7 linked regions of the Oryzias latipes genome follow. The protein of the gene in region 5 interacts with the protein of the main gene of each other region in a biochemical or structural test. Links are inferred from orthologs where the notes say so. Each region holds a gene or a part of one and is shown on either strand. Other genes may lie near its edges.

The links.
Region 1: the proteins of receptor tyrosine-protein kinase erbB-2 (region 5) and shc1 form a complex in vitro, tested with the Homo sapiens proteins (2 studies listed by BioGRID and IntAct, with this or other methods). The link is inferred for Oryzias latipes from reciprocal best matches to the Homo sapiens genes ERBB2 and SHC1.
Region 2: the proteins of receptor tyrosine-protein kinase erbB-2 (region 5) and plcg2 form a complex in vitro, tested with the Homo sapiens proteins (2 studies listed by BioGRID and IntAct, with this or other methods). The link is inferred for Oryzias latipes from reciprocal best matches to the Homo sapiens genes ERBB2 and PLCG2.
Region 3: the proteins of receptor tyrosine-protein kinase erbB-2 (region 5) and sh2b2 form a complex in vitro, tested with the Homo sapiens proteins (2 studies listed by BioGRID and IntAct, with this or other methods). The link is inferred for Oryzias latipes from reciprocal best matches to the Homo sapiens genes ERBB2 and SH2B2.
Region 4: the proteins of receptor tyrosine-protein kinase erbB-2 (region 5) and itk form a complex in vitro, tested with the Homo sapiens proteins (2 studies listed by BioGRID and IntAct, with this or other methods). The link is inferred for Oryzias latipes from reciprocal best matches to the Homo sapiens genes ERBB2 and ITK.
Region 6: the proteins of receptor tyrosine-protein kinase erbB-2 (region 5) and src-like-adapter 2 form a complex in vitro, tested with the Homo sapiens proteins (2 studies listed by BioGRID and IntAct, with this or other methods). The link is inferred for Oryzias latipes from reciprocal best matches to the Homo sapiens genes ERBB2 and SLA2.
Region 7: the proteins of receptor tyrosine-protein kinase erbB-2 (region 5) and supt6h form a complex in vitro, tested with the Homo sapiens proteins (2 studies listed by BioGRID and IntAct, with this or other methods). The link is inferred for Oryzias latipes from reciprocal best matches to the Homo sapiens genes ERBB2 and SUPT6H.

What each region holds. Positions count from the first base shown.
Region 1 is NC_019874.2:18,333,860-18,338,261, forward strand, and holds the start of shc1 (SHC-transforming protein 1), read right to left. Parts: upstream 3,003-4,402; 5' UTR 1-3,002. UniProt on the Homo sapiens protein: Signaling adapter that couples activated growth factor receptors to signaling pathways. Participates in a signaling cascade initiated by activated KIT and KITLG/SCF.
Region 2 is NC_019864.2:28,000,343-28,004,829, forward strand, and holds the start of plcg2 (1-phosphatidylinositol 4,5-bisphosphate phosphodiesterase gamma-2), read right to left. Parts: upstream 2,890-4,487; 5' UTR 2,705-2,889; intron 1-2,704. UniProt on the Homo sapiens protein: The production of the second messenger molecules diacylglycerol (DAG) and inositol 1,4,5-trisphosphate (IP3) is mediated by activated phosphatidylinositol-specific phospholipase C enzymes. It is a crucial enzyme in transmembrane signaling.
Region 3 is NC_019871.2:13,807,476-13,812,012, forward strand, and holds the start of sh2b2 (SH2B adapter protein 2), read right to left. Parts: upstream 2,803-4,537; 5' UTR 2,579-2,802; intron 2,453-2,578; exon of another isoform or gene 2,375-2,452; intron 1-2,374. UniProt on the Homo sapiens protein: Adapter protein for several members of the tyrosine kinase receptor family. Involved in multiple signaling pathways. May be involved in coupling from immunoreceptor to Ras signaling. Acts as a negative regulator of cytokine signaling in collaboration with CBL.
Region 4 is NC_019868.2:21,188,686-21,193,060, forward strand, and holds the start of itk (tyrosine-protein kinase ITK/TSK), read left to right. Parts: upstream 1-1,340; 5' UTR 1,341-1,407; coding exon 1,408-1,545; intron 1,546-1,626; coding exon 1,627-1,731; intron 1,732-1,840; coding exon 1,841-1,922; intron 1,923-2,007; coding exon 2,008-2,133; intron 2,134-2,386; coding exon 2,387-2,424; intron 2,425-2,711; coding exon 2,712-2,863; intron 2,864-2,985; coding exon 2,986-3,051; intron 3,052-3,132; coding exon 3,133-3,187; intron 3,188-3,630; coding exon 3,631-3,710; intron 3,711-3,915; coding exon 3,916-4,052; intron 4,053-4,153; coding exon 4,154-4,219; intron 4,220-4,370; coding exon 4,371-4,375. UniProt on the Homo sapiens protein: Tyrosine kinase that plays an essential role in regulation of the adaptive immune response. Regulates the development, function and differentiation of conventional T-cells and nonconventional NKT-cells.
Region 5 is NC_019877.2:7,422,717-7,426,976, forward strand, and holds the start of receptor tyrosine-protein kinase erbB-2, read right to left. Parts: upstream 2,846-4,260; 5' UTR 2,616-2,845; coding exon 2,543-2,615; intron 1-2,542. UniProt on the Homo sapiens protein: Protein tyrosine kinase that is part of several cell surface receptor complexes, but that apparently needs a coreceptor for ligand binding. Essential component of a neuregulin-receptor complex, although neuregulins do not interact with it alone.
Region 6 is NC_019863.2:26,193,623-26,197,840, reverse strand, and holds the start of src-like-adapter 2, read right to left. Parts: upstream 2,997-4,218; 5' UTR 2,167-2,996; intron 1,811-2,166; 5' UTR 1,781-1,810; coding exon 1,708-1,780; intron 1,619-1,707; coding exon 1,519-1,618; intron 1,429-1,518; coding exon 1,342-1,428; intron 1,107-1,341; coding exon 1,003-1,106; intron 479-1,002; coding exon 326-478; intron 239-325; coding exon 118-238; intron 1-117. UniProt on the Homo sapiens protein: Adapter protein, which negatively regulates T-cell receptor (TCR) signaling. Inhibits T-cell antigen-receptor induced activation of nuclear factor of activated T-cells.
Region 7 is NC_019872.2:8,918,184-8,921,936, reverse strand, and holds part of supt6h (transcription elongation factor SPT6), read right to left. Parts: intron 3,203-3,753; coding exon 3,129-3,202; intron 2,996-3,128; coding exon 2,818-2,995; intron 2,690-2,817; coding exon 2,608-2,689; intron 2,413-2,607; coding exon 2,163-2,412; intron 1,934-2,162; coding exon 1,832-1,933; intron 1,738-1,831; coding exon 1,624-1,737; intron 1,532-1,623; coding exon 1,442-1,531; intron 1,311-1,441; coding exon 1,168-1,310; intron 1,012-1,167; coding exon 866-1,011; intron 791-865; coding exon 683-790; intron 586-682; coding exon 305-585; intron 1-304.

The sequences.
Region 1 (4,402 bases), on a different chromosome or scaffold from region 5:
GACACCCATAGAAAAACAAAGAAAAACCAAACAAAAGTTTGTTTTTAAGACTGGACTCGCAGAGCGGAGCCGGTTCCTGACAGAGGTACCTGATATGGCTAAAAACAAAAGAGCCTGCTTTTGTTTAAGTGTGTTCCCTAAAAATGACCACCAAGTTTCACTTTTTTTTTTTTGTTGTTCTTTTTTTTCTGTTTATTCCTTGAGCACCATTGAATCTTGGTAGGCCTCCTGGGAGATGTTGTCTGACTGGTACAGTGACAGACACTGCAGCACCAAGGTGGTGATGTAACACGGGAGAATGTGGGTCATTGGCTGATGAACACTACTGGTGGGCTCGTTGTGATGGTAATGAAACCTGATTTGTCAGGTTTGATCTCATAATCCAGCTTCAGCAAAGTGAGAGCTCATCAGTGCTGAAGATGAACTCACTCATCTGGGTTCGAAAGAAGCTCAAATAGAACTGACCTTTGTTGTTAACCCAGTGCCAGCTGCTGTCATCTGATTGTTTCGTAGTTCAATTCAATAAAAAGCCCAGATTATAGTTGTTTACCTGAGAGAAGAATGTTGACACTGCCACAAAGTGTATGATATAAAAAAGCCAAAGGCTATATTCCAGGACAGCTCCCTTCCCAACGCAAGGAATAGTCAGATCTCAGCTCTGTCCAACAGACACCTTAAAACACTGCATCTTTCTGCATAGACCAACCTAGAAGGCAAATACTCTTACATTAGCAGTCGCTCACAACAAACATCCCACAAATGAAACAGTCTGTAACAACTTGACCTCAGTGGGAGGCAAATGTACACTTTTAGCCCTGCAGCAAGCTGTCCTGCCTAAACCTTAGTGCTGCTGAGGCACTAGTCATATTTACAGAACATTGACCTTTAGACTTGCAAAAGATGAATAACTTACACAAGGCTGCACATCTGGCACCAACCTTTTAATAATACCAAAAGGAATGGCTTATTATAACATTTGAGAATGCAACTAAGCCAAAAGTATAACGGTCAAGATTGTAGTGGGTGCTGGATGAATGGCAAAAGGAACAGTCGCCTACACCAGTCTAGCACCACAGAGGGATTGTCTAGCAGTTCTAGCTAGCCATCCATCTGGTCTTGGACAAAAAGCACCAAGGAGGATCCAGATATACTCATCCACTGCCAGACAGGCCTGGATGATCTCCAGAAAGCTATAAAGTAGTATGGCTGGAAAAGACACAAAGTCTTCAGATAAAAAGCATGCAGAATAAATTAACAGTCTGTCACACACTTAATAGAACCAAAATTAAGTCCAAAGAGGCTTAGAACGTTCCATAGGCAACACATCCAACACGTGTTAACAGCAGACTAGGAACACCAGTTGTTCCTTCTGAGAGAACTAATAGAGTCGAGTCAACCCTAGCTCTAGGATGTTGGTGCACAAAACACAGTGAAGGTCAGGTGACTGCAGAGGAGACGGCCCTCTACATGAAGAGAAATCCTGAGTCACCAACAGATGAGCGCTGTAATGAACAGACTGTCATAGATGCAGCACTGCTGATGACTGATGATCATAGGCCTCAGGGTCAAACAGCAGCACCCACGGATATGTACAAGTGAAGTCAGAGTGATCATCTAATTCACACAGTCATGCCTGATAGTAGCACATTGAGGACAGATGAACTGAAAAAAAAACATTGGATAACAAACTTTCACACAGACAAAGTTAGAGTTAACAACTATGACCCCTAACACAAAACCCACAAATCATACAAAAGCACAGGCTAATTCTTTCTAAGATGTTACATCTATGATGATCTATGCAACAGCAATGAAACAGCACCAGTTTTTAAAATGAATTTTGAAAAAAAGGAAAAGAGGAACTTTACATCTAGTTCTGTCTGCAGCTGCTTCCCGTTGCTATGGCAACAGACATTAAAAGAAAAGCCCGCCGAGCATGTATGCCGTAAAGTCCCGACAACAGCAGGAATTTTCTGGGATAACTGCTTTGTGGAATCAAACTGAAAAATAGATGAGCCTTTTGGATTTTTTTCCACAGAACGGCAGGATAAAACAAACAAACAAAAAAAATCACAGGCTTTTAGAAGAAGAATACGATTAAGATCAAAGTTTGACTGCTTTGGAGCCACCCATCACACCTAATCAGTGTTGACATCCCACATTGGATGCATGTACGGACTCTAACAGCTAGTCAATCACAAATCATATCAAACAATAATAAAAAAAACCTTTTTCAATTAACAAGGAACACCACACCTTAGTATTTAAAAGACAACTGTTACAAAAACTTGCATAAAAAGCTGAATCTTCTGAGAAACTTCTAAAAGAAATGATTGTATAACATCCTGCAGATCTACAATTATAGAAAATATAAAAATTAGAAGTCGAAAAGAGAGTCTATATTTACAAAAAGTCCTTTAAAAAATGTTTTGTATCAAGTGAGCAACACATTTGCTTCTGTGTTCTTCATTTTTCTCACTAAATATCAAAGCTTCTATAGTTGTTTTTTATTATTATTATTAATAATAAACCATTCATGAAAAGCTGGTTTTCATGTTCCAATAAGAAGAGCCCCAGTGATGTTTGAACAGCCACAGAAAGTCGGATCCTTCGTCCTCTCCTTCCTCTTTCTCTGGCTTTCTCCTCATCCACTCCCAGAAAAATCGCGCTTCCTCTCTGATCCGCTCTTCCGCTCGGTTAATTCACAAAGTCACTGCCGGCTCCTGCCGCTCCTCTCCATCTATCCTCTCTCCTCCGTTTGGCTGCCTCCTCTTTCGTCCCCCTCCTTTGTCACCCTTCCCGTCTCTCAGCGGATGGTGAAATGGCAGTGCTGTCAGGATGGACAATAGCACTCCTTCATTGTACTTCTCTTCTCCCCTCGTGTCTGCCTCTCATGCCCGCTTTCCTTCCACCTCTGTCTGTTTGAGGGGACGAGCATGCTGTCTACCCTCCCCTCCTCCTGTCTGGGTGGGTGATGCTGCCTCCCATTTTCTCGTTCTCTCTTACTCTACCGTGCAGTGCTGCATGCCCCCCTCCCCTCCACCTTCTTCTTTTCCATTCTACTTCCTTCCTGCCCCCCCCCTTCTCTGCAGCCAGAGTCATTTTGAAGTGCACATATGCATGCACAGCTACATACTGCCCTCATGCACATTAATGCACTCTAATGCTCAAGGGGGGGAGATGGGGAAGGAAGGAAGAGGGTGAGTGTGTGTCTCCACGTGCACAGCAGTGCATGCGTGGAAAAACTGGGCTGTTTATGTTGGCCATTCAAGAGTCCTGCCTTCGTGTTTGGTAACTTGAGAAACAGATTTCAAAGACTGGGACAAAGAGACCCCCCTCCCTTCCCTCCTTCAAACCCCACAGCCCTTTAGCCAGCAATTCTGTGTGACAGGAGGTCACTCTGTATAACCTTGATGGAGCCAGATAAACTTAAAAAAAAAAAAAAAGCATGAGTTACATCTGCACAATGAATATGAGAAACACTCACATGACTAGGACACTAAAATATAGAAAGCAGAGAGACCAGAAATTGCCTGTGACAGTCAAGCGGATCTGATGAGAAGTCAGTGTTGCAGAAAAGAGAGGAAACCAGGCATAGAGTGCTGCAAGAACTAAGCAGAGGGGAACAGCAATAAGTCCTCAATTCACACCAAAACAACAAAAAAAAGTGCTTCTAGCTTAAATTTAAGCACCACACCCCTGCCAAGTGCCCCCTTCCATCACCGTGCTTGCAGTATTTACTACTAATGATTAACAGTGAAAAACAGCACCCTCCACCAGCCTGAACCACAGTGGCTTAGAGTTGACACACAATACCTTCAAAATTCCCCCAAAATTTGTGTACCCGTTTTGAGATTTACAGAAAAGGACTAGAGAAGAGACTATTGCAACTTTTTATAAGGTAGACACAGTTATAATGAATCCAGTCTTGCATAATAACTGCGTAAATAATTGAAGCATCTCCTCTCTTGAAGGATATGATTTTCATTTTTCTGAACATTATGCAACCCAGTCCCAAAAGGTCCAAACCTGCAGCCCTGAAAAAAACTTAACCGTAAAGTTCAATTCGTGGCTCATTAAAGCAACTTTATCAAAAGACCTATTAAAGCTGCAAGGGTGAAGGCAGGATTTATTGCTGGACTGCTGTAAACTGCATGTGCTTTTTTTGGGGTAAGACTAATAAACTGACGTCCGAGTACAGTCTGAGGAAAACTGCAATAAATTTCCTTGTGCATATACATGGCAGAGTAATTACTCATGCATGACTACATGCTGACTTCAGACTCTAGTTTTACTTAAATAAGGTAACTCAAGAACAAGCTTTACTTTTATCTGTTACACTGCTGCAGTAGGGAATATGTGTAAAAAGGTCTTTCACAACAAGTTTTTTCTTTTTCAAAAT
Region 2 (4,487 bases), on a different chromosome or scaffold from region 5:
ACATTGATGACTAAATGAACAGCTTTATGTACTTAACATATTTTAAAGTAACAATTTGTGGTGTAAAGCACCATTTTTTGCATAAAGTGTAATGCAATAGCATGAGCTCCACTTAGTGGCCAAACTGAAAGGCAGCTCTGAGAGGCACAACACTTATTTTTGTAATATGAACAGTTTAGAGACGTTACAGTGTTAGTGATCTGCAGATTTTTGTCTGAGCTTCTCCGAAACCAAGCAACATTGTATGGTGTTAACAATCTCATTGGTTTATTATTTCACTAATACATTTTACAGTACATGAACTGTGTCAGATTCATTTGAATATCTTGAAAACATGTAAAGATTATTATTGTATTTCTATACCAATATGTCTAAATGTGTAAACCGTGTAAATTCAAATTTGAATTCAAATTATTGAAAGAATTGTAAATTGAATAGATCCAGGCTCTGGTGAATCGAATCAATTCTAAACTCATTGCTGTTACCCATACAGCTCTAGTTTATTTGTACTTCTTCCATGGTTTTAAGGTGGTTTTTGTGATACGTCTGTGAAAAGGCCACAACTTTTCTCACTTTTTCCACGTCTATTGTTATGGCTGTTACGCCACTTTGTGATCATCTCCCCTAGACTGTGGCAGGTTTGCCTGTTGGGACAGTAACATTATTCCCGTATGACCAATTTTCCTCCGTGCAATATGCGCAAAATGTACATGGTGGCTATGTGACACGGCCTTTAAAGCTCCAATAGTTTCCTGTCCAGCAAGATGCTCAAAATACATTTTTAATTTACAAACCCTGGATAAATTAAGAATACAAACATATTTTAAGTACAACAATTAATCAAGAAAAGTTAGTTTATGATTTGGAAAACCTAAAATAAAAAATTGTGTTTCTGTTTCTAATGCTCTGAACTCAGATTATGGGAGACAAATTTAACCAAAATCCGTTTCCTCATAGATGTGAATGAACTTAATTCTGCTCATCCAGAGAGAGACGGCTTCTGTCCAGATAACAAACCCCATCATTACTGCTCTCCACAGCAGAGTCCCGCTCGACGGCCATAAGCCACAGCCAGGAACTTATCACAGTCCAAAGTCTCAACGCTCTGAGCCTCGTTTGATTATCCAAAAGAGCTGCAAATCTTTACATTTAAGGAAAAGAGAAAGTCAGATTGGTTTTGCTGATAATGATAGCCTTATAAATGTTTATCAAAAGTACACATGGTTGAAGGATTGAGATCTTAGTCAGGAGCAGCCATTGTCAATAGACAGGTAAAGATTAACCCAAATACCTCATTCTCACCTTTAAGACAGCACCGCTTTTATTCACTGACATTTGTTCCTCATTACAAAACCAAAATCAACAAATAAAATTGCATTTAAGGACTGAAAAGAATCCAAACACTTAGATTATAAAATAGTTTACATGTTGCTCAAACAGATTCAAACTATTTCTGTTTAACACTAAATGCAGCAAACGGACAGTTTTCCTTTTTGAGATCAGAGTTTCACTTTAACTTTGTCTTTTCACGTCAGTTTCAAAGTAAAAACAAACGAAGCGTAGATCGTGGTGTGAGCCATTTCCTCCTTTTCTATTCCCATGAGCCCTCGCTGACCTGCAGCCGTATAACAACTCACTGTATTTACACAAATGAGCATTTCCTCCCACGTTCACCTTTAAACTCCCCTCAAAAAATAGGCATTAATAAACAAAAACAACGTCTAATATTGCAGAAAAGCCAAAACAAGACTCAGAAAGCTCTTGTTTCCCTTCCATCTAACACTGAGGACATCTGTTTTCATAAAACTTAAAAGGACAAAATTCAGTTTAAAATGAATAAAATCAACAAACTGTTATTCCATTAAGATTTAAAAAAAAAGACATGATATTGTCAAATGGAAGCCGAAATGTTCAAATAATCCAAAACTACAACCAAAAGGCCTCAAAAGTCAAAGCCATAATGGGCGTCATCATTACAAACCAGTGAGACTTTAACATAAACCGAGTCTAATGTCATTTCCACAGAATCTGAGCAACATGAACACAGTTTGAGTGAACTTTAGGACTTGATGTCCATCATAAATATGAAAAAGGCAGTAGTGGTGCTCCCTGTGTGCCTGCTGCCTCCCTATCTATTAAAATTCAAAACACAAGGTGCTTTTGTGAGCTGGACAAAGCCAATCCTTCTTCTGCTCGGCAAAAGCCAAGACCACAGTCCAGAACCGTTTCCTCATGAGGTCTCCCAATGGTTCTACCAACAACATCCTCACTTTGGAAAAATATATATATATATATATATATATATATATATATATATATATATATATATATATATATATATATATATATATATATATATATATATATATGAGTTAAATAGACTAAAAGGCTTAGATCTGGTGTGAAAAGGTTTTTTGAATAAGTCTTTTATTTTGAAGGTGGAGGTGAGCTGCAGCTGCAGGTGTAGTTGCAGCTCACCTCCACCTTCCGAGGTTCAAGTTCCAGGTTCCGAGCCGGCCGGCCGTGCACCTGCAGACGCCGCGGCTGCAGCCGCAGCCGGCCGCGTGGCAGTCGGTCCGCCGTCTGCAGCCCTGCATACGCGCAGCAGCGGGAAAAAAAAAGCGAACTTCCCGTCTTCAGCGCGCAGACAACTTTGACGCCAACCAGCCGTTCAAGATCACAAACACGCATCACAAACACTTACCGTCGGACGCGAGTCGCTTCTGCTCTACAAAAAAATAAAGAGAAAGTATCTTCTATCATCTGATCATGGTTTGGAGGCTGGGAGCTGAAAAGGACGTTTGGTGCTGACAGTAAGAGCAGCCGCTGGACGCTCGGTTCCTCTATGTGCGCTGGGATAGAGGAACTAAGGAAGTAAAAGTTGACTTGCATCACACACAGAGCATGCAAGTTTTTAAGAAGTCCGGAAGCAAGGACGGTATCTATGCAAATGAAGGGAGGCTCGGGGCTTTTGCTGTCAGCGGTGATGGCCACACCAGCTTTTATCTGACTCCCTGTGCAACAAAACAAAGAATAATAATAATTAAAAAAAAAAACCTGCTATTTCTGTAACTCACACTACCTTTGGGACCATAAAAGTTATTCAAAGCATAAAGTTTGCCCCCCAAAACAGTTTTTTTTAAATAATGTAACCTTTCTGCTTTTTTTTCCTGTTGGAGAGTTGAAGGCGCAGCGTCATCTGACTCTTCTTCATCCGTCTTCAACTGAAACGCAACAGGGATTGAAGTTTATCTGACCATCTCCAAACATTTTCATGAAAAAAAACATTTTCTGTGTGTGTTTGAAGGTTTTTTAAGGTTAAATTTGAAAAAAACAACAACAACTTTTGAGTCAATTTTTAATGTTTTTATGTAGAATAAAACTGACTTGAAACAGAATTTAACCAGTGGCCCAAAACATCGGACACGAGCGGATTAATTAGTAGGAAAATTAACAAAACAGTCATTTGTTTTAGCTCTAAAGTACCTAAACTTTGTGCAGTTTTTAATTATTAAAGTCTTCTTTTTTTAACTTCTTTTTGTCTAATCCAACTGAGGTAAATGAGAAGTCACTGCTTATATTTTCATCTAAAAATGAGATAAAAGTAAATCACTAAAAGTTTCCTTATTTAACTGTAAAATATTATTCACCTCAGCTTCAACATGTATTGAAAGGTCCCTCCATATAAACCAAATGAGCCAATCAGAAAGCTCTTTGGGCAAAACAATATTTGAATTATTGTCCTTTGTTTTTAAAACTGCAGATGGATTATTATGTGTTTTTAACTGTTCGAAAAAAAATAAATCCTATTAGTTTGAAGCATCTTTTTCCTAACATGTCAACTACAGGAAAGATTAACATGACATTTTATAAAGCACAGAGGGGGGAAAAGTTTCCCTTCTTTTTTAAACCATATGTAAACCTCTGGTTGCACCTGTACCGCTCTTTGTCATAAACCATATGAAGCATTTGCATGACTAACATGGTGCAGGTATTTGCATGTTTGCAGAGCAGAAAAAGGGGGGGGAGGATGAACACAAGGCTGCCTTTCAGGCTCCAAGGAAGTCTTTGCATTCAATGCAATTCCATGCCGGTCGCAATTTACAAAGTCGCTCATGAAGCCAGAGCGGACAACAGTAATGTTCGACAACAACAAAAAACTGTTGCATGAAAATAAATCTACTGAAGAAGCCTGCTGTGAAGAATGCAGTCCAGACAGACAGACAGTTATTTACTCCAAACTCTGTAAAAGCTCCATTTATTCCATAAATACAGTTTAGTGCACAGCAGGAACTGATATAAAGACTATGAACACAAATCCAGTTAGACCTTCCTACAGAAGATGTAGCGCTGTTGCCTCACAGCGAACAGGTCGTGGTTCGAATCCCGGTTGGGTTTTGGTTTGCATGTTCTGTCTGTGGATGTGTGGGATTTTCCTCCCAACAGTATGTTTCAAAGGTGGAACAGAGACTTTAAATCCTCTATGA
Region 3 (4,537 bases), on a different chromosome or scaffold from region 5:
GTGTTTGTGTGCACAAAATGTAGAAACAGACAGATAAAAAAAAGAAACAGAAACAGACAGATACAATTCTGGATAAGAATCCAGACCCAAAGAGGAAATATGAAACTGTTGAGCATCAAATTGCTAAAGTGCACCCCCATGTACTTATGAGGAGGAGTGACCACTCACGTCTGATGATGCAGGTAGCCGATGTTACACACATTTGTTTAGTGGCTTCTCAGCAGGACAGAGTCTTCTCACTCTGTCCTCTGACAATATAAATGTTGAGTGAGCTCGGCATCCGTATGGCAGCCAACGATAAAGGACGGAGCGCGTGGGAGATGAACGCTTCACCACTGACTTCCATTTCCTGTCTCTCACCCACCAAGTCTGACTAATTCCACAGACAAGCATGTGCCTCTCGCAACCACACACGCGCAGGATAAATACTCGACAACCTGAAATCTGTCACCTATTACGATATGTTGACAAAAAAGCCACTTTTTGTTTTTCAGGAAAAGATTCTCCTCCATGTTTTTCCTCAAGCAGAATTCTTCTTAACAAGTCTTCAAGATTTTTTTAACAGACATTCGTATTTTGAACTCATTTATTTAATATATTGATTTTTTTAGATAATATTTACAGTAAAATATAATATTTACTGGAAAACATTTGCAATCAAACTTAATTTTTTTTCTTTCCTTTTTACTTTACAAACCATAGTCAACTATTTACTATGGGAAAAAGTCTGTAGAAAAACCCTGATCTTTTTGTTGTAAAAGTAACTTTTTAATAAAGAAATACATATTTTTATGACATATTTGCATGGAGCAATATGCAATATTTTTTTTGTCAAATTACAAACATTTCTGCCTCTGCATCAAACTAAATCATAAACTGAATGGCAAAGACTGGATCTTTCTGATGCAGTTTTCTTTTTTCTTTTAGCAAAAACTTCCAATTATCAAATCTAAACCCCCAGAAAAGAGATTCTTTGCTGAGTTTTTTCGTTATTTCAACATCGGGCTGTAATCTCCACATGTTGCCTGTGTTGTGTTTAGTTTGAAAATAAAAGCAGCTGTCTGTCAAAAAAACTTACATTCAGAGTCAGATGTTAGTTAATAAATGATCTTAATGTAGAGGTGAAACAGTGTGTATATCACATAAAAGCGTTCCTAGTGGTCTTTTAATTATGATCATGCCGTTTTTAGCCAAAATAAAAAAAAACTGTGCTGTTTTCTAGGACATAGTTTTTGCAGGGCGGTAGTTCATTATAAATTCACCTCTTCGTTGTGGGCGGGACTTTTGCCGTGGAGTAAGCCTGCCCCGACTTCCCATTATCCTATGGTTTTCACTCTCTCGCTAGCTTACAGCCCCTCACAACCCCATCGGTGCAACAACAATTACAAGCAACATTGGGGCTGTCTACAGTTCTGAGCCAGATGCCAGCTCAGACGGGGAAACAAGGATCTATTTGTCTCCAAGTGGATGCATCAGAATGGAGCAGAGCAGGGAGTTTGTTGCCTGCCATTTACAGGTTCTATGTCACACTTGTAAGTTTTTTCATTTGCTCCTGCATTCACAAAAAGAGATACTCAGAAATGCTGTTTTAGGCTTAATTTTCTTAATTCGTGTTCTCCATTATCCAAAAAAAGCACAAGAATATTTTAAAAACACAGTTTTCATCTGAGTGGTTCTTTAAAGATGAATTGTTTTCATAAAAGGGTAATTATGGGGGCGTTTCTTCATGGAGCATGTCTGGACTTTACATTTTAGCCAAAGCTTCACTTTCAATAAAAGTCATCAAACTATTAAATGTCTGATTTTGGAGCACTTACATATGCCAAGAAAGCGTCCATTCTAATTCATCACATTGTCACAGCATGATGTCAGACATGCCAGCATCACAAATCAATGAGTGAAAAGGCGTTTCTGTGCGAGCTTCTGTTCAAATCGGACTTGTTAGGCTTCATGTTACCTGTCTGTTCAAGCAGCTCATAAAAAGATACGTGAGAGAAAGTCAATAGAGGGCCTGTGACAGGCCTGCTGCAGTCCCAGGGAGTCTATTTAAAGGCAGCAGTGGAGCGTGGTGCAGGCTGCGCGCTGGACTTCATGAATGGCCTCCTGCTGAATGGCTGACAGACCCAGAAGGCAGCGATGAATGGGAGCCTGCGCGCGTGAGCTGTCACGGATTCTGGATCATCTTGAGCGCACCTCTGAGGGGGCCGCAGACAGATCCCACCTTTATTGCGTCTATTTAGCGGATTTTATGTCTTAGGGGGAAGAAGAAGAGGAATAAGCCTCCTCCGCATCTCCACCCCTCAAGCAGAGACGCAGACTATCCCTCTCTTCCATCACGGGCTGGATGTGGCCACTGCGTTTCGGTGAGACTTACCGCGCGGACGTGAGAGAGGGGCTTATCCCCCAGAACGCAATGTGTCTGCAGCCAGAGGTTGTTGTTATTGTCCTGCAGCTAAAAGAAAAAAAAAAGAAGAACCGACGCTGCAGCGTTTCTGCTCGCAGCATCAGCGCAGACGCAGGTTCTGCTCACAAACGCCAGGATGATCAGGCGCGTAAAGAAAAGCGCAGCGGCACTCACCTCAACAGAGGACGCGGTCCATTCTGTCCCAGAGGAGAGCAGACTCCGGCTTTCTGCACAGCAGGTCCTCACTTTTCAGCGTCAGCCATGGTTAGATCCTCCACCTGCTCTCATTTGTCTGGTTTATAGAAGCGCGCAGGCAGCCAGCTCTTCCTCCATCTCTGCTGCGGAACACTGGGCACTGCTGCCGCCGCTCCACAGACCTATTTAACCACACTGAGCTGCAGGAAGGCCCATTTCCGTTTGAGTTTTTCAAAATAAAGGTAGGGAATTCCAAAATGTAGACTTCCTTTTCGCTTTTGGTGAGGGGAGGGGAGAAAAACAACAACACCGCCTTGGGGTGGGCACTGCGTGACAGACACGCAGATCAATGTATCTTAATAATAATAATAATAATAATAATAATAATAATAATAATAATAATAATAATAATAATACTCTACAGTGGAAAAGATATATTTGGTTAAACAGGGAAAGTAAAATATCAGGTTAAATGGATGTTGAATATTACATGGAGTTTTTTTTTGGTCATATGCTCATATGAATTAAATTAAATTGTATTCAGATTTTTCAAAGATAATATAAAAAAATAATTTTTAAAGTATCATATACCTGGACTATATGTTACTTTTATAAATTAAGAGCATAATGTTGTTTATCGAAATTTGTCTCCTGTTAAAAATGTTTCTTCTCAACATTGTATGGCTTTTAATTTGAAGGTGAACTGAAAGGCCAGTACTGAAACAGCTTGCTTCACTTGTGAATGTGTGTGTGCGTGCGTGTGTCTGTGTCCAAGTGTGTAACATGTGTGTATGTATGTGTTTGTGTGTATACCTCTGTCCTTAAAGGAGCCACGCCCGTTTGTTGTTATCATCCCACTGGCAAAAATCCTGGATGTATTGTGTTTCAGTGTGTGCAGGCCTGGGCGCTCAACAAATGAATCCATATTCAAAACAAAAGCACGGTCCAGCCTAGCAGCAGATGCACTACACCAGCTGCTCAAGATAAACAACACAACAAAGCAAAACAAAAAAAAAAGGCCAAAAAAACGTAAATCCTGGCTAAAGCAGACAGTCTTCCATCAGTGTTTTGTGAATGGCGGAAACTGACAAAATTAGATTCAAATATTCTCTACATCATGATGGAGAGGTAACCCCCACAAGGTCAGCTTGACAATAATAGCTGCTCTACAAAACGTGTGTGTGTGTGGGTGTGTGTGTGGGTGTGTGTGTGGGTGTGTGTGTGTGTGTGTGTGGGTGTGTGTGTGGGTGTGTGTGTGTGTGTGTGTATGTGTGCACACCTGACATTCTGAAGAAAGAGAGAAAATACATTCCTATCTGATCTAAGAACACCAAAAAAGAGGAAAGAGAATTCAAAAATAAAAGTGAACAACCTGATATACTTATGTTTATATTAATTCATTATCTTAATCCAATGTGTTTACAGTTTGCGAGAGAACTATTTAAATATCTGGTGCATATTTGACTTAGTTCCCCAAAATGCGCAACAACAACAACAAAAAAAAAAGATGAATGACCAAAAATGTTGGTCAAAACTCCTAATTTCATGTTATTACAAAATGGTTTTGTCCCATTTTTGTGCAATAAAGCATTTTTGAGCCACTGTTTATGAAAAAATACTAGCTGTTGGGTCGTTTCCGACTTTTCATATGGTTTGGTGATGCTTCCTTCAGAGTCAGCGGCACAGGGAGCTTAGTATATTATAATCCTCTCTGAGAGGATTGAATCTGTGGGGCTAAGTACTGAAATAATAACAGCAGACAGTAGTAAGAGAGGATGAGCCATGTCAGTGGTTAGTATGTCTCAGAAAATAAAATTAAAGGGTGTGTTTATGCTTTTTTATTTTTATAGAAATAATGTAGCTGCTCATCAGCTGTAAAAATACATTAAAAAATATTTACTAAAGATTTACTGCAGTTAGTGAGAGTTAATCTCCGAT
Region 4 (4,375 bases), on a different chromosome or scaffold from region 5:
AGATGCCAGGATTGGACAGTGACCCGGAAACAAACTCGACGTTGATTGGTTGCGTCGACAAGCCTTTAAAGTATTTCATTATTAACCTTATAATTAGTGGGTTTTATTCAAAACTAATCTCTTTCCTGTATTAATTGTTTTAAACTTTTTGTTAGTTTTTGTTTGTTTAATATAGTGAGTTCAGGTTCTGATCCTGGTAGGCCTATAAATCTTAAAATATGTTCTTAAAATAAGCTGCTTAAGAAATCAAACCCAAGCAAAAAAAGTTCAGATCTGTAACCATAAAAAAGGGGGGGGAGGGGGACTCTAATTTTAAAAATGTATCTATCATTTGTTTTTACGCCCTAAATACAGTAGGGCAGGTGAAAGTGTCTAACTTTGAATTTTATGTTTCATTTTCTACTTAGTCAATTAGCAACACCTAATATTCATTCTTTTTCTTTTTTTTACACTTAAATAAAAATGGTCAAACTATTATAAGTAAGCTGACTTCATCTTGACCCTGACACTAAATAAGAATGACATGTAACATTTTATTTTATAAACGTTGTCATAGGCCTAGTGAATATTTAGCAGAGGGCAAAGGTTGTGCTTCGGAGTGTGCAAAACAAAACAAGAACATCGTATTTGAACCAAAATTGAAAAGAAAAATAAGAATCTTTCTAACCCCAAAGAAAACATAGCCTCATGAAAAGTACATCAAAGGTTCCATATTGTATTTGGATACATTTTTCTTAGAAACCAGACTTTTCTCTTTTGCTGTTTTCTGCATTTAGTGATTCATGAAACCTTGACATTCTTAGTGTTTGTAGGATATAACTTATCATGCATTTTACATTTTTAAAAATTGCATTTTTTTCATTTTTAAGTTTTCCTTCAGTAGTACTTTTTTACTACAATTTTGATACAAGCGGAGAGTTTCTTTTAAATGAAGAAAAAAGAAAATTTAAAAATTCCGAAAAAAAACCCCAGCTATGGCTTCTTAGGTATTGATTAACAGTGTTATTTTTGTTTTTAGCTTTTGATTTAATATGAAAATTTAAATTGTTTTCTAAAACATTTTTGTTTAACAACCAAGCAATTCTGACAAAAAGCTTACATTTTTATGCAAAATTTGATCAATAGTACATCAAAGGTTCATGTTAAAAAAAAAACCTTTATTGAGTTTAACACAACATACGTGATGATACGTGTGTGTATTTGTGTGCACATCAGTGTGTGATTGCTTGCACAGAGTGTTGCCACAAGGATGTGGTTTACTGCATGCAACTAACCCACGCCGGAAACTCTTCGGCATCTTCAATGTTTGCATTCTCCCTTTTTTTTCCCCCCTGCAGTCAGAGGCTTTCAGTTACTCCGTCCAATACCACCCAGTGTCTCCAGTGGTGTTATTCTCAACTGCTAACCATGTTTCCTCGGGTGATTTTGAAGGGAACCATGATCAAAAAATCTCAGCAAAAGAAGAGAACGTCACCGTGTAATTACAAAGAGAGATTTTTTGTTTTGGACACACAGGAGCTGAAGTATTCTGAGCGCCGTTCGGGGGTGAGTGCTTGTGTGCTTCATGGAATTGTCAAATTGAGCTTGACTGAACTGACAACTTTTGGAAATGGCACGATCTTGCAGAAGAAGCCCATGCTAAAAGGTTGCATTCAACTGTCCAGTATTAAGTGTGTGGAAATTGTGTGTAGTGACATCCCCATACCATGCCAATACAAGTACCCATTTCAGGTACCAGTCGCAGTTTTTTAACTTAAAAAATAATTTATTTCATTTTTAATTCAAAGGAATTTTGAAGATTTCTGTCTCATATTTTCTTTAAATCACAAATGCTTTGCAGGTTCTTCATGACAACTATTACCTCTACATTTTTGCTCCAGACAACGACTGTCGTATGAGATGGGTCAAAGCCCTCAAGGAGGGTAATTCAATCAGAACCTCTTTGTATCATTGTAATTTTAATATCTTGACCTGCATATAAAGAAATATGTTCATCTTTCTATGTAGAGACTAAATATAACAGTTTGGTTGCAAAATACCACACAAACTTCTGGATGGATGGAAAATGGAGATGCTGCCTACAAACTGACAAACTGGCAGCAGGTTGTCGTGTGTATGATCCAGTGGGTTGTGGTTTGTATTCATTTGTTATTGTTTCTTCTTTTAGTTACAATTAGATCTCACACGTTCCATTTCATATATTTATCATATATTTATTTCTTATTTGTTTACCTTTGTGAATATTCTCCCTAAAAAGGGATTGTGGCCTAAAAATCTGCATTTTAGATGCTAAAATCTTTATACTCTGCATAGGATTCTGTGTCAGTGCTTGTGATATGCAAGAAAAAGCCTTAACTACTAATTCCACTGTTTACTTAATCCACAGTCACTAAGAAGCCACTTCCCCAACTCCCAGATCCAGAGGTAGACCTCTTCAAATGTTAATGTTCTATTAATGCAGCCATTGAAAACTGACAAATCAGTTAATTTACAGCAATTTGTAGCAATTCATAGCAAAGTTACTTGACTTTTTTTTGCTTTGCCTTTTCTGTACATCTGGTAGATTTATTTGAATAGAACTGAGACAGCCGGTTTATTCATCAAATGTTACCCTAACTGTAAAAGTCCAGTCATGTCTTGTACATTGTTTTTGCCTTTTTGAATGAATTTTTAGTAGTGAATTGTTTCTTAGATATGGTTGATTTTTGCAGATGTCATTACAACCTTCAACACAGGGGATGGTCATAGCTTTGCAAGATTATGTGCCCATGGGAGACGACGATTTGCCCCTCCAGAAAGATCAGGAGTACCTGTTGATCAACAGCTCCCACTCTGAGTGGTGGGCTGTGCAGGACGACAAGGGGTAAGGCTTTAAAAAATAAATAAATAAATAAAAAAGCAGATTTGACCTTCTTTTAAAAAACCAATACATTGAAAATTAAATATTTCTAAAGAACATATTTGTGATTTTTTTTTTCTTAACAGTAAAACTGGTTTTGTGCCCAGTACGTACGTTGCGGAAAAATGTGGCAAAAACTTTGAGAGATTTCAGTGAGTTTTGTCAGATCTTATTTAATCTTACACATCTACAAGACACTGTTTAGATGTACTTGTTGATTTGTCGCTTTACAGATGGTACAACAAGCACATTAACAGAGCCGAGGCAGAAGACTTGTTAATGAAAAAGGTAGGAGCATAAACCACTTATTTATTTATTTATTTTAAACTTTGTCGTGCTTTATGGAAAATTACCTGGTTGGTAATCTCAAAAATCAAGTAAAAGAAAAAAAAAATTCCTCTGGCATGATAAGACGCACTTTACTTTTCAATAGTGCCGCCCACAGAAATCTTGCTTTTGCAAAAATAATGCACCTGCAAACTGACATTGTGGAGTGACATGGGACGTGAACATTTGTTCTCAAAACCGCGATGTTTCCTTCAAAACTGAATTTCCTGCTGACAGAATGTCTGCTGAACTTTGCAAACAGGTGGGAGAACTGCGCTCCCATCACCTCCTGCGACTCAGACACTTTCAAAGAGCTTGGCCAGCAACAAATCTTAAAAAAGTGAGAAAAGAGATGTGTGCAAGACAGTCAGCTGTGTTATGCAATATCTTCATTCTTACTACAGGGAAAAGAAGGTGCATTCATGGTGCGGGACTCAAGACAAGCAGGAGTCTACACGGTGTCCGTTTACACCAAAGCGCCCGGGTAACTGTCATTTTAACCACATACAACTCAAAGAGTCTACACAAAATGTGCTTTCTGACATTTTATTTTACATTAGTATGTTTGAACATGTTCTACATAAGTAAACATCCCCTTTTTCTGTCTTTTTTAAAAACATTAGTTTACATTTTGCTATTTTCTTATGATGTTTGTTGCTCTAAAATGTAAATACATATGTATTTTTTAGATCAAAAGGTGAAAAGAATCCCAGGGTGAAACATTATCAGATAAGGCAGGAGGAAGGAGGACAGTTCTACTTGGCTGAAAAGTATCTGTTCAACACCATTCCTGAGCTCATCCACTATCACCAACACAATGCTGCTGGTAAACATGCCTTCTGCACACATTTAGCATTAAGGAATTTGTTTTTCTTTGATATATATTTATATATATTTGCATGATAACTTATCTAATGCACTCTGCAGGTCTGATAACACGGCTGAGATACCCCGTTTTGCCAGATGGATGCTGCTTCCAGGAAGCTGCTGAAGGTCATGTGATGTATTGGCCTATCCGTTCAAACGAAAATTACCTGAACTAATGTCTTGAATGTTTTAACACCAGCCACTCTAAAGAAAAGTTACAGTAGGTGGAAGCATGGATTATTAACTTCATGATTTTGGTATTTGTTGGTCTCAACAGATCAG
Region 5 (4,260 bases):
TTGCTAGTTTTACTATTTGTTCAAATATCGCAAGTTATATCGTCATCACAATATTGAATACTAATATTGCAAGTTTTCCTCATATCATGCAGACCTACAGTCAATGTAGTTTACCAACATTGAGCTAAAACAATTTGACAGATTTCTGAGTACTGTGTATCATAGAAATTCAGTTCCAGGTCAAAAGAACAAATAAATTCCTACAGACCGACAATATTTTGGGAAACTGAAGGCATAAAAATGTGCATCAAAGTCATATAAATATGATATTTTTTAACCTTTGGATCTATATGAAGACAACAAGGAGAGACCCAAGAGCTTCAAGCCTTCAAGATATTTATGAAGCATCCACACCACTGACTATTATTAGTGAACGCATCACAGTCCTCTTTTTAAATTTAGCTGCTCCAATGCCGGGTCTGAACATGAGAGTTGAGCTTATGGGAAACCATTCATGCACAAAATCTTTAAAAAAAAAACACACACACGCACATTTTGCATACATGCAATAAAATAACACTGACATGCAAACATTTTATGTAGGGTAAGGGCAATTTGAGCATTTTATACAAATAATGACAACATATAATATAGACAAATCTCCCTCCAAGTAAAAAAGCATTTTAGATATAACCTGAGCTGAAGTGAGAACTTTAGTGTGATTATTGGTAAAGTCTTTGATAAGAAATTCTAAATTTTGATAGGATTCATTACAATTGATTAAATGTCATTTTACTGGTCAAATTTTTGTTTTAAAATAAGTTGTTTAGTGATGAAGTGACCAAAAGTAAAACCTTTGATCATAATATTGTGAAATCTCACAATAGAAACGAATAAATTTGATACATTTTTCCAGATAATTTGTGATACATTCTTATAAAAAGAATTAAATCGAGGAATTTCATATTTTTGAATTGTCTTTTTAATTGAAACAAATTGATCTTCAAACACAGCCTTTAAAAGGTTTACATGAAAAAAATGATAGTGTCTTAGTGTTAAATGCCCAGGTTAAGATGCAAAATAATATTAAAACAATAAGATGCTTGATTGGTTGAATTAAAAGTTTTTTATTGCCAAAAAACGGACGTTCCTCTGAAAAACATGAGGGTGAGCGGAGCCTTTTTAGAGAACGACCATCCTGATCTCAGTCAGAGTGGGTCAGGTCACTAACAGTCTAGACGGGCAGAGTTAACCTGCAACTAGCGTCAATTCAAATAGACTTTGCCTTGAGGTGCGCTAAAATATGACAAGGGCGTGAACTGTGCGTCCACTGAGGCAATCGCCTCACACCAAGGATCCTGCATAGAGGGGCTGTGCACACGTGTGAGTGACATAACAAATGAAAGTAAGAAGGCTGGAAGTCAACACTTGGGCATAACATGTTGCTTAACTCTGGGAACCAGTCAGAGCACTCCGGCACAGGTCCGATGCTTCAGAGATCAACACTGCAGACTAAAGTGCACCAACCTGTTCCCCCCAACAATGCTGTCGCGTTCAGAAATGACTTCACCTGTGACTACTGGCTTTGTTCCTGCGTGTGTCCGATTAGTGGTAGTGCTTCGGGGGCAGCTAATAAAACAGGAGTATTGTTTGTGCTCTAAGGATTTCGTCTTTCAACTTAATTGAGCTGGAAATTGGTAATCAAAGTCCAAAAAAAAAAATTCATGGCTCTTTTTGTTGTTTTTAACCCCAAAAACTGGCAATTTAATAAAGTCTGCACATAGTCTCAGTCTGTGCAAAGGTTTTACATGTTTATTGATATTGCTAAATCCTCCTAGAACAGATATTAAACTAGTTCATAATAATAATCATGAAAACTGTGGTTTTCTTGCAGAAATAAAAAATGATATTGGAGTTTTTCAAATCTGACTCCTTTTCTTCGACTTTATATAATTGGTATATGAAATGTGAAAAACAATGAAACAAATAGTTTAGAGCGGTGCTACTTTCTGCAACATGAAGAAATCCAAAAACTCCTCAGGTTTGGCTTTAAACAAAAGAAATCTTGATTTGCATTTTGCAAATTTGCTCTTATTTGCACTTTCAGTTAGTTAGCTCTTACTTTACTGGCATGCACTCCAAGCTCCAAGTGTGATAAGTGGCCCTCTATCAGACAATGTCCCCTTAGGAGCCAGAAGTGAATAATTGACATAGTCATGATGATCTTCTGCACACAGAGCTTTTGTTTGTTTGTTTGTTTGTTGTTTACCAACACTGCTCTGCTGCATCTCAACACCAGTTCTCGAGTTTATTGCCCAACTATGTGGCTTTAACTCTCTTTATTCAATTTAGTGTAAGTTTGTAATTGAAATTCAAACTGAAAGCTTTTAGCGAAGCTACTTTTTGACAGGTGGGAATTTTGTCCTTATCTGCGCTCCATAACTCCCATGAATCTCCGCAGGGAGGACGAAATCACGTACGAGGAATGCAGGAACCCGCGTCGACTTCACACTTCACGTCCACACGAACACAACTCGAACGGGGTCTAGTATGTCCGCGTTCCCAAACCGTGAGAGCGCAAAAGACGACAAAAGTCACCCACCTTCTCCGCCCAAAACGCCCGGCACTCCGAGCAGAACGGCTCCGATAAACACCAAACTTCTCGCGGCTTCCATCTGCTCGCACCCGGCGCGTTTAGTCCATATTCCAGAGTTAGGTCTGTCTAATATTCGTTGTAGCCGACAAAAAAAACACAATAGGTCTTTTCCTTCTTAAAATATTAGACCTTAAAATAATAGCAGCTTTAATCTCGACTCCCTTAGTGAAATTGCTGCCCTTCTTCCTATCCACGGAGACTTCCGAACTCGGACTGTTGGTAGTAACAGTGTGACAAGCGCGCTCCCGTGAAGGCCTGCGCGAGGAGTGGCACTCTGACTCCGCCCACAATCACAGATTTCTGTCTGCAGACCTCAAACTCACTACACGCTTATCAATGTGACATTAAAGACTGTAATGCATGGATTCCTTCTGTCATACAAATATATATATGTTTATTTATTTATTGGTCAAATTTATGTATCCTACTCAAACATGTTTTTTTTCCAACTGAAATGTATCTGAAAAGTGTTCTAAACGCTCATCTTTATGAGGCTGTAGCTTTGAGCATCATGTTAGAACACTGCCAAAAGAACTTAAAGTTCTCTAAAATAAAAATGTGCTGAAGTGTTTAAAAATCATTTTTGTTGGAACAACAAAATAAAATAAAAACTTCCACACCATAATACTACTACCTTCACCAACTTGGCACCTTGCATTTTCAATGGTAGATCTTCCTGGCACCCCAGAATCCCAGAAGGTATCAAATGCAGATTTTTAAATTTATTTGAATTTAAATCATAACATATGGGAAATAGTCAATATTTCAGGACTTTTTTTTCTCCAAATTTTCCATGATACAAGAAATACCAAAAAATTAGATCAGACTGTCTTTGTCAACAAACTTCAAGATGTTGGATTATGTTGTAATTATTGTTGTTTATGGAGGATTTAGCAGTAGCATCTCAAGGAGATGCTTGATCCTGTGAGATGTTCTCAGGCTTGTTATCCTTTTTGTTTTCAGTCTATTGGGGGCTAACATTTCTTGTGCTTTGTCCAAAAAACCCCCCCACATATATGTATTTACACACAGACACGCACACAATACAATTTTCCTGCTCTATTTCCAAACTTTCCCCAAGTGCATAGACTCATACATCTCTGTATCTCACCATTTACTGATTCACTAGAGTGGCTAAACTTTCATAATGACTTCTGGAACAAATTTAAAGAAATCTTCAGTGGGCAAGCAATGGAAGAAAAAAATGTATCTCTAAACAAGTTGAAAATACAGAAAAGTAGAAGTTCTTTTCTTGTTATAAGGGAAAACAAATTTGACATTGGAACTAGAAGAACTTGTTTTGGTAAAATTTCTTAAAATAAATTGTGATGTAATAACCTTTTAAGACAAATTGTTTATGTATATTTCACTGGTAATAGGAAATATTGCATTTAAATGACAAGGTATTGCCAAAATAAGGGTTTTAAATCTTTAAAGTGGGTATGTTTGCACACCTTTCCCCCAAATATATCACATTTTAACAGCTATAACAGTCCAACTACCCCTCTATAGAATCATCCTAAAGACCAGAATCATAAAATATTAAAAACTAAAGACTAAACTTAAATTATAGGGGATATTTTTGCAGTGCATCTGTTTAATTTGGGATTTTTAATAGATTAGGCTTGCGCCTAAATCTCCCAAAGTCTCATTTTCCTTGTTTT
Region 6 (4,218 bases), on a different chromosome or scaffold from region 5:
ACCTGCAGATTGCTTCCTAATGCTTAGAGAACAAAACTTTAAAAACCAGTGACAGGATTGAGTGTCTCTCTTTGCACTACAATCATTAGATTCAAATCCAAAGCAACCATTTCTCACCTGCTTATGTCCTTCCAGTTAATAGTAGGCCTTCTGATAATGTTGGGAACAGGCCTGGGAGTGTCTAACCCCTGGATGAAGCAAGGCGCTGTCAGCTGGCAGCACAGGCCGTTTGCAGACTCTGCAAGAGGAGCCCCAGTTTTCAGTCAGTTTTATACGTTTTGTTGTCTTAAGGCACCCAGAAGAGAGTCCCCGCTTCAGTTCTGACCTGAATAGTGTTCCACGAGGCAGTGTAGGGAGGGGAAGGTGAGTCCTGGAGAAATATAGTACCAGTTGTTTTGGAGGCGGTAGATGCGGTAGTGCTTCACAGGATTCAATCGTGAGGAGTTGGTTCTCATCAAGATGGATAGTGAGTGGCTGTCTGAAGACAGAAATATCCCACAGATGCAGCGGTTAAGATATTTTTGTTTTGACTTGGCTGATCTTTTGGTGTCTCACATGAACCAAATGTCATCAATTTCTACAACTAGTTATCCTGTTTTTCAATAAAAACTTTTTGTAGGACACATTTTTGTTTCTCCACATATTTAATCAATGTTTCCAGAAAGTTTATGGTTTAAAAAGTAGCCTGGAGGAGAAATAGAATTTAGAAATCACAAATGTCTTGTGTGCTTCCTTATTCTATAATCTTCACTTCTAACAATGAACAAACAATGATCAGAACAAATCAGTAATAATCAGACTATTTTTTTCCAACAGGAATGATTTCTTGAGGATAAATTTGCTTCTGGTTTATAAAAGCAGAACAAAAATTAACCTGAGCAAACCTAAAATGGTATGAAAGCACAGACAGGCTCAGCATTCTGCCCCCTTACAATTAAAATAAATTAAAACTTTCACTAAAAAACAGTTCCTTTACACAAAAGGTTACAACAAAGCTCTTACCTCTGTTTGTTTCCGATTCTCGAATCAAAAAGGATCCGTTCTGGTTATTGGGTTTCTGCAGCAGCTCCTCTGCCTTGTACCTGCTGATGCCTGTGAACAGCCACCTGCAACAAAGGACATCACACCTTCAGACTGGGACACCAAATTCTGTCCTGACGTCTGGAAAAACCCATTAGAAGAAGATCTGAGCTTGTTGAGTAGGACTGAGGTGGAGGAGGCAGAGGCTGAATGTGTCACTGGAGAACAAGCATTTGTCTCCACTGAGGAACAGTTCACCTACACGGACAGTATGCCTCATTTATTTTTTTGTGCTCACAACAACAGCATACAGCTCCTCACCTGTGCATCACTTTGGCTGTATAGTTGGTGGGGATGTAGCTATCACGGCCAGTGGTTGAGGATCTCACCGTCATGAAATCTCCATCTCTGTTTTTGTTCCAAAAGAGAAACAAATTTAACGTAGGGTTCTTTTTTTAACTGTGGCAAAACTGAAACCTTACAAGCTGTTCCACTTACTCTGATACGATGAGGAGTCTCTCACCAGCAAACATGGTGGGTTCGGTGTCTTCGAACGTTGGGTAGTCGTGGAGCGATACAATCACATTTTCCTGGAGGACTACAGAGCCACAAAGAGAAGCGGTGAACATTTGATCTGGGGAATCTGTATATTTAAGTTTGCATGTCTGTGTTCTGAGCTGAATCTACCTGGTGAGTCTGATTCAGGTGCATTTTCTAAAACCTCTAAATTTGAGCAACATCTGGTTAAGCAGGAGCCCATTTTTCAGCAATCTGAGACGTCTGCCAAGACCTAAAGAGAAAAAAAACCAACATTAAAATAAACTAACTGGTTGTTGCCTGCTAACTTTGTCACACACAGGGGATGTACATGCGTCATAACAAGGCAACCAAAAGCAAAATACTCAAGGTGTCAAACCACAACAAAAGGTGCTGATATCCTGCGTTCAAGTTCCATGCAGAGCATGGCAGGAATAAGGTCCACATCTCAAAAGGGGAGATTTTATTCTGTTCATGCAATCGTTTTTTTTTTTTTTGCAAAGTTCAATCTGTGCAGCATATTTATACAAGTTAAAGGACATATAACTAAAATCTTGGAGGCAGAAGTTGAGTCAAATGGCGAGCAAAATAAACAAAAAGGTCGCTCACCTTTTGAAGTTCTGCTTGGAGAAGTAATAGTCCTCAGAAATGCAGAGCCACAAACAAATTCCAGGTCTTCTTGTTCATAAATCCGTGTCTGTAGTCACCATAAAGATGCAAACGTGTCCTGCATGTCGGAACTCAGGCCTGCTGAACAGATTGCTCCCCTCTCTGCTCACTTCACATGAAGACTGCTGTGTTTTTGCTGCTGGCGGCAATGAAGGCTGACTGAAGAGCAGAGGTTTCTCGCCTCACATAAATGCATGTCGCGAAGCCGCAGCTTCCTGTGACGCGAAACAGTTTCAACATCCTGGACTGATCTGCAGACAGTTCAGCTGATACTATATCAATTGTTTACAGAATGAAGTGTCAGCGTACGTAAGCACCCTTAATGTTCTTGCCATTCAGAATGATCCTGTTGCACCACTGTGGGGTGGATGTCATAGAAGGTCAAAGGTGAAAATCTGCATTTGAACATCACACCTAGATATCAAATATGCACATCTTCCTTTCCACTCTGATGCTCTCATTAGCTATAGGGAAACTAGAAGTCAAACTTTTGCAGAATCGTGATGCTCCCCTTGCCTCATTCAGAGGTTCACTGATTAAACTGTGTTTTTTTAAGCATGAAGCATCTAACGTATGAAAACCTAACTTAGGCTGCACAATTTGAAATGTCAGAAAAAGATGAAGCGTGATGTTTGTGAGAAAGAGCGGCGTGGAAACGAGAGAAGATCAAATCAGTGCTGAATAAGCAGATGGAAAGTTTGCTATCAAGAATTTGTTTGAGCTGCCAAGTCAATCACATCAGATTGTTTCACGTGTCATGCAGCTCCCAAGATACGTTTTGTGCATTTCAGTCAGACAACTCTTGCAGAAGAACATTTATTTCACGACATCTTTAGGTTTTCACAACATCTTTAGGATGACATTCACAATTTGATTCACAACTTCGTTTTGGCATAAGGCTCCGTTCAATTCCTTGAGACAATTATTTTTCCATACACTTTCGGGTAACAACCCCCGTAACGGAGCCCACAGGTGGAAGCCGGGGAGGAGGGAGGGGCAAAGAATGAGCGCTGAAGGTAAGAGAGAATGAACAATTGTACACCTGACTTAAATAGGACGCTAAGCAGGTGGGTTAATTAACAGACCCGCCCTAGGGGAGTAACCTGCAATTCTGCCGAGTGTCTGCCCGAAATGCGACGAGTCGCTTATTTAAAACAATTCAATGGCTTCATTAGCACTCATTGATATAAACTGGACTAAAAGTGGTGATCTGAGAAGTTTCATGTGGTTGGATTATGTTGCACAGAACCTCCTCACATGCAGAAGACAGGCTGAGGTACCAGACATCCCAGAAGTCTGTGCTGCACCTCTTTGAAGGTACCTAGTTTTCGTATAAGCACTTTATTCTTGTTCCAGTTCGTTCCTTTTCAAGTTTCCTTTTTTAGTTACAATACAGCTGATCTTTGTCTTTTGATGGAGGGCTAAATATAGCCAGCTCATCTGCGACAACAGCAGTTATCACTCAGCTTCGGAAATAAGAGCAAGTGTGGTTGGAAACAACTTCAACCACAGTCTCCTCACTTTTCCACCAACTAGAAGCAGCAGCGGCAGCCTTAACAGATCTACGGTGTGCGTTCTCTCTTAGTTTTATTTATAGAAACACCACAAAGATGTTTACACATACTCAGCTCTGGAAACCTCTAGAAAAAGTACTGACACATGAAGCAGGCGCGTACTTTATTTGCAGCTTTATTCAGAATATAAATACACGGAATCAGCACAGTGAGAAGCACCACTTGAAGGGGGCTTTTCTTCTTCTCACGTACAGTTTCAGCCAAACACAAACATCAGCGCGGTGCAGAAGGACAACGAGAAAGATTTTAAAACCAAATTGTAAAAGAAGACCAAAAAAATGAATGTTTAAAAGTAGCTCTACAAAAGTTTTCGACGTGGTCAGACAGGATCAGTGCTACAGTTTGCAGTGCTACTTTGTGAAATGTCTTGTTTCGTTAGAACCAAGGCAGTGCAGAGGTGCTGCAGGTCCACTCCTGA
Region 7 (3,753 bases), on a different chromosome or scaffold from region 5:
AAATTCAGTTCTATGTTGTTGGTGGAACCGATGGCCCCCCCTTCCCCTTTCCGTTGGTAAGAGTTCGGAGCAGGGAGCCTGTGGCCCGGCCAGCGTATTTTCTACGTCACAAATAAGATTTTTTTTCAAACTGCTTTTTTTGGTCTGCTTTTAAATTTGAATAAAAAAATACTTAGAAATTAAGCTTAATTTTTTTTCCATGTCCTCTGTCATCCGAAAAATGCCACAAGGACATGTTAAGAACACCAAGAACATTTGTCATCTGAGTGGGTCTTTAATTAACCTCTGATGATAACCACCGTACCTTTTTACCCTTCTTTGTGGGTTTGATGTTAATCTTGGCTCTCTCCTGAAAGGTCTGGCGAAGAACATGCCTGACTAGAGGTTCCCGAGCAATTTGCATGGCAACCATATATCTAGTTCCTACCAGCACATTCTCGGGGGTGGAGAACTGACTGCACACATAATCTTTTGCCAGTTCTAAAGGCTCAGCAGGGAACTGCTCTGTCTCGTGACGCTGGTAACTGTCTCTTAAATTCTCTCCAAACTGCTCCGGGGTCAAACCAAACTTTTTAGCCAAGCCGTCTGTAAAAAGAGAAAACCAGCATAAGAAAATTAGGACAGCAGACAATTTTATTAATATCACTAATTTGGCTATATGAAGAAAAAAAAAAAAACTAACCAAGTCCAACACTTTGGCAAATGCTGTACATGTCCCTACGAGATGCCTGCTTGAGGTCAGGGGCTTTCTGTTCCTCCTCTTCTTCAATTTCAAGCTCCTCCTCTTCCCCTTCAGGTCAAATCATTTTCAAATAAGCCAAAAGGAGAAAGCTCTTTTGATTTTCATCACTTCACATGATTTTACCATCTTCTGTCACTTCTCTGATCTTCTTGAGCCTCTTCTTGGTGGATTTAGCAGCGTTTTGCATCTTGGGGATGTCTCGACCGTAATAGAGCAGGAAGTGATTGTACACATCTCCCAGTTCTTCAAGAGTCTGTACATCTTTTAGCCTTTGGAATATTAAAAAAAATAATGATACAATTAAAAAAAAAACATGTCAAAAGGCTTCTTTAATGAAATTTTGTCTTATTTTCTGAGGGCAACTGAAGCTAAACAAGGTTTATAAAGTAACATCTTTCTCAGCCTGCAGTGTGATGTGGTCGCACCTCTCCATGTCAGCCGTGTCTAAAGGACGAACGCCATCAGCCAGGGGCTTGTCAGGGTCAGCAGAGATCTGCTCAAACTGATATGACTGCATCTTTTGGAACAGCCGGGTCAGGTTCTGCTTTCGGGTTCTCAGCTGAGTCCACTAAACAATTTGCAAATCAAGTTAACTACTACCAATCGAAGTGTTTAAGTTTAAGCAAATATTGATGCAAACGTTAAAACATTGATAGAAAAAAAAGTCACAGTAATAAATAAAACAAAATGTGAAAATACCTTCTCATCCCATTGCCACACCTTCCACAGGTCATTGATATTTAGCTCTGGTTCAACATATTCTTTTCTGTAGAAAGCTATAAAGGGGACCTGAAAAAATGTTTAAAAAATGCAAGTTTTTGTCCTCCTTAAGATGAAAACAGTTAAATCCTTAAAAGGTGAATGTTATAAATCTGTGGTACCTCAAATTGTTGATTCCTCATGAAGTTAAGAGCCTCCTTAATCTTGGCAATTGTACTTGGACCCTTTCTGCTGAAATTTGTGGTTGTCCCTCTGTCAAGGTAGTCTGTGCTTTCCTTTAGAGGACAACGTGAGAAAAAGTAATGAGATCTGTTTTAACCACAAGCAATGTTATCATCTCCTGACGTAGCCTAGAGACAGCAGCTGCACCTGCATGGAGATGGTGAGAGTGGAGAAACCATGTCTGAAGATCCACTCGGCTTCTTCTTCCAGCTCATCATCCTCAGCGGGCTTAACAGGAATGGATCGTAACTGAAAGACAAACAAAAAACACATTTAGCAACATTATCAGGTGAATCATTTCTTTTATCTTTATTTAACCAGGTGGGCCATTAGGCACATGTTCTTATTGACAATAACGACCTGGGTTTTTTTGTGAATAAAACTTTCACAACCAAATGTTAGCTTACAAATTCATTTGGAATGTTAAATAAACCCTTAGAATGACTTTTTAAATGTACTAATATACTAAATCACACACCTGGAACCTCTCAGGCATGTCTGTGGATCGAATCTCATTGTCCTGATCAGTCATGTGACTGCTTTCCAGTTCACTGGGCTCATAGATTTCAAAGATGCTCTTTCTTCCCAATCTCCTTTTAGTCTGTTTCTTAGGTCGGTCCCAGCCCTCTTCTTCTGGATCTTCCTCTTCTTCCTCACCTCCTTCATCAACACCAATGTCAGCAAAGTCAAAGTCGCCACCAAAGATTTCCTGGGCTTCTTGGAGGGCTCTGGAGAAAGAGGATTTGAAACACATATTAAAAAACGTACCTTTTTTTTGGGGCTATTCTTTCTTTGTACAGATATTTAGAAATCAAATAGAAAAATTCTGTACATTTTTACTGCCCTTAAATTAATGCCACAAGAATGTGTAGGAATTGAAAATACGAGTAGGTTCTTCTCATTTCAAGTGCTCAAACACTCACGCATCTGTGTATCCAGAGAACTTCTTGCCCCGTTTTTTTGTGATGGGCTGGCCATCATCATCCACAATAAAATCATCTATATCTGCGGAAAGAAAATAAATATAAATTGAACTTCTTCCTCTTATAAAACACACTACAAAGGAGATTCACAACCTTGAAAAAAACATGCTGACATTATTTTAAAGAGATCTAGCAAAACTTTTTTCCAACCTGAGTCCTCCTCTTCTCCTTCCTCCTCATCATCTACAGTCTGGAGGGGCTCGTCCAAAGCCTCGCCTTCCTCCAGATCACCATCACCATCTCCATGAAAAATCTCATCTGCGATCAGGTCCTTCTCATCGTCATCTTCATCCTCGTCAAGTGTTTTGACGCGGTCATATTTCTTCTTCTGCAGTACAAGATAATACATAGTTAGGACAGCTATCAAACGCTCCAAGCTCTCCAAAAGATGCTGTATGTTCAGGACAGCTGGAGTCTAAGGAAAAGGCAGTAGAAATGGAATTTTATTGAGAAATTCTTACCCTCCTTTTCACTTTGACGCCTAAATTTTCCTCAATGAGGTCGAGATCATCATCATCCAGGTAGTCATCATAATCTAGGAAGAAAGTTTGGAAAAACGATCATTGAAGACAAACTTAACATGTAGGATTTATCTCTGAAATGCATCACAATGTTTGTACCTTTAAGCATGCTGTTTGGATTTCAAACCACAACTTTAGTGTCTTAATCAAATTTCTCTGCTTATTGAAACAGATCTGTGATGAGAACAGCTGGGATATCTCTTTACATTCTTAATAGTGACCTTTGGGTCCCTAAATGCCCCATAGCCAAAACATTTAGGTAAATATGCAGGTCTAGCTACTTTGAGTTTTTTTTATTATCAGTGGTAAAAATGGCTCCAAGCATTAGGGTTCCTCTTTTTAGTGACCGATCTGTGAATTCAAACCATGTCATCATTATGTGTTGCAAGATTGTATCGTTATACATGCAAGTTATTCACACAAGTCAAAGACACAATGATGACAAAATATAGAACTGGTTTGAGTTACTTATTGGCTTGATGCCAGCAAAGACACACATGTGGGGTTAGTTTGCTAATAAAACATTTAATCTCAGTCGTGATTTTTCTAGACATTACTGACGGAA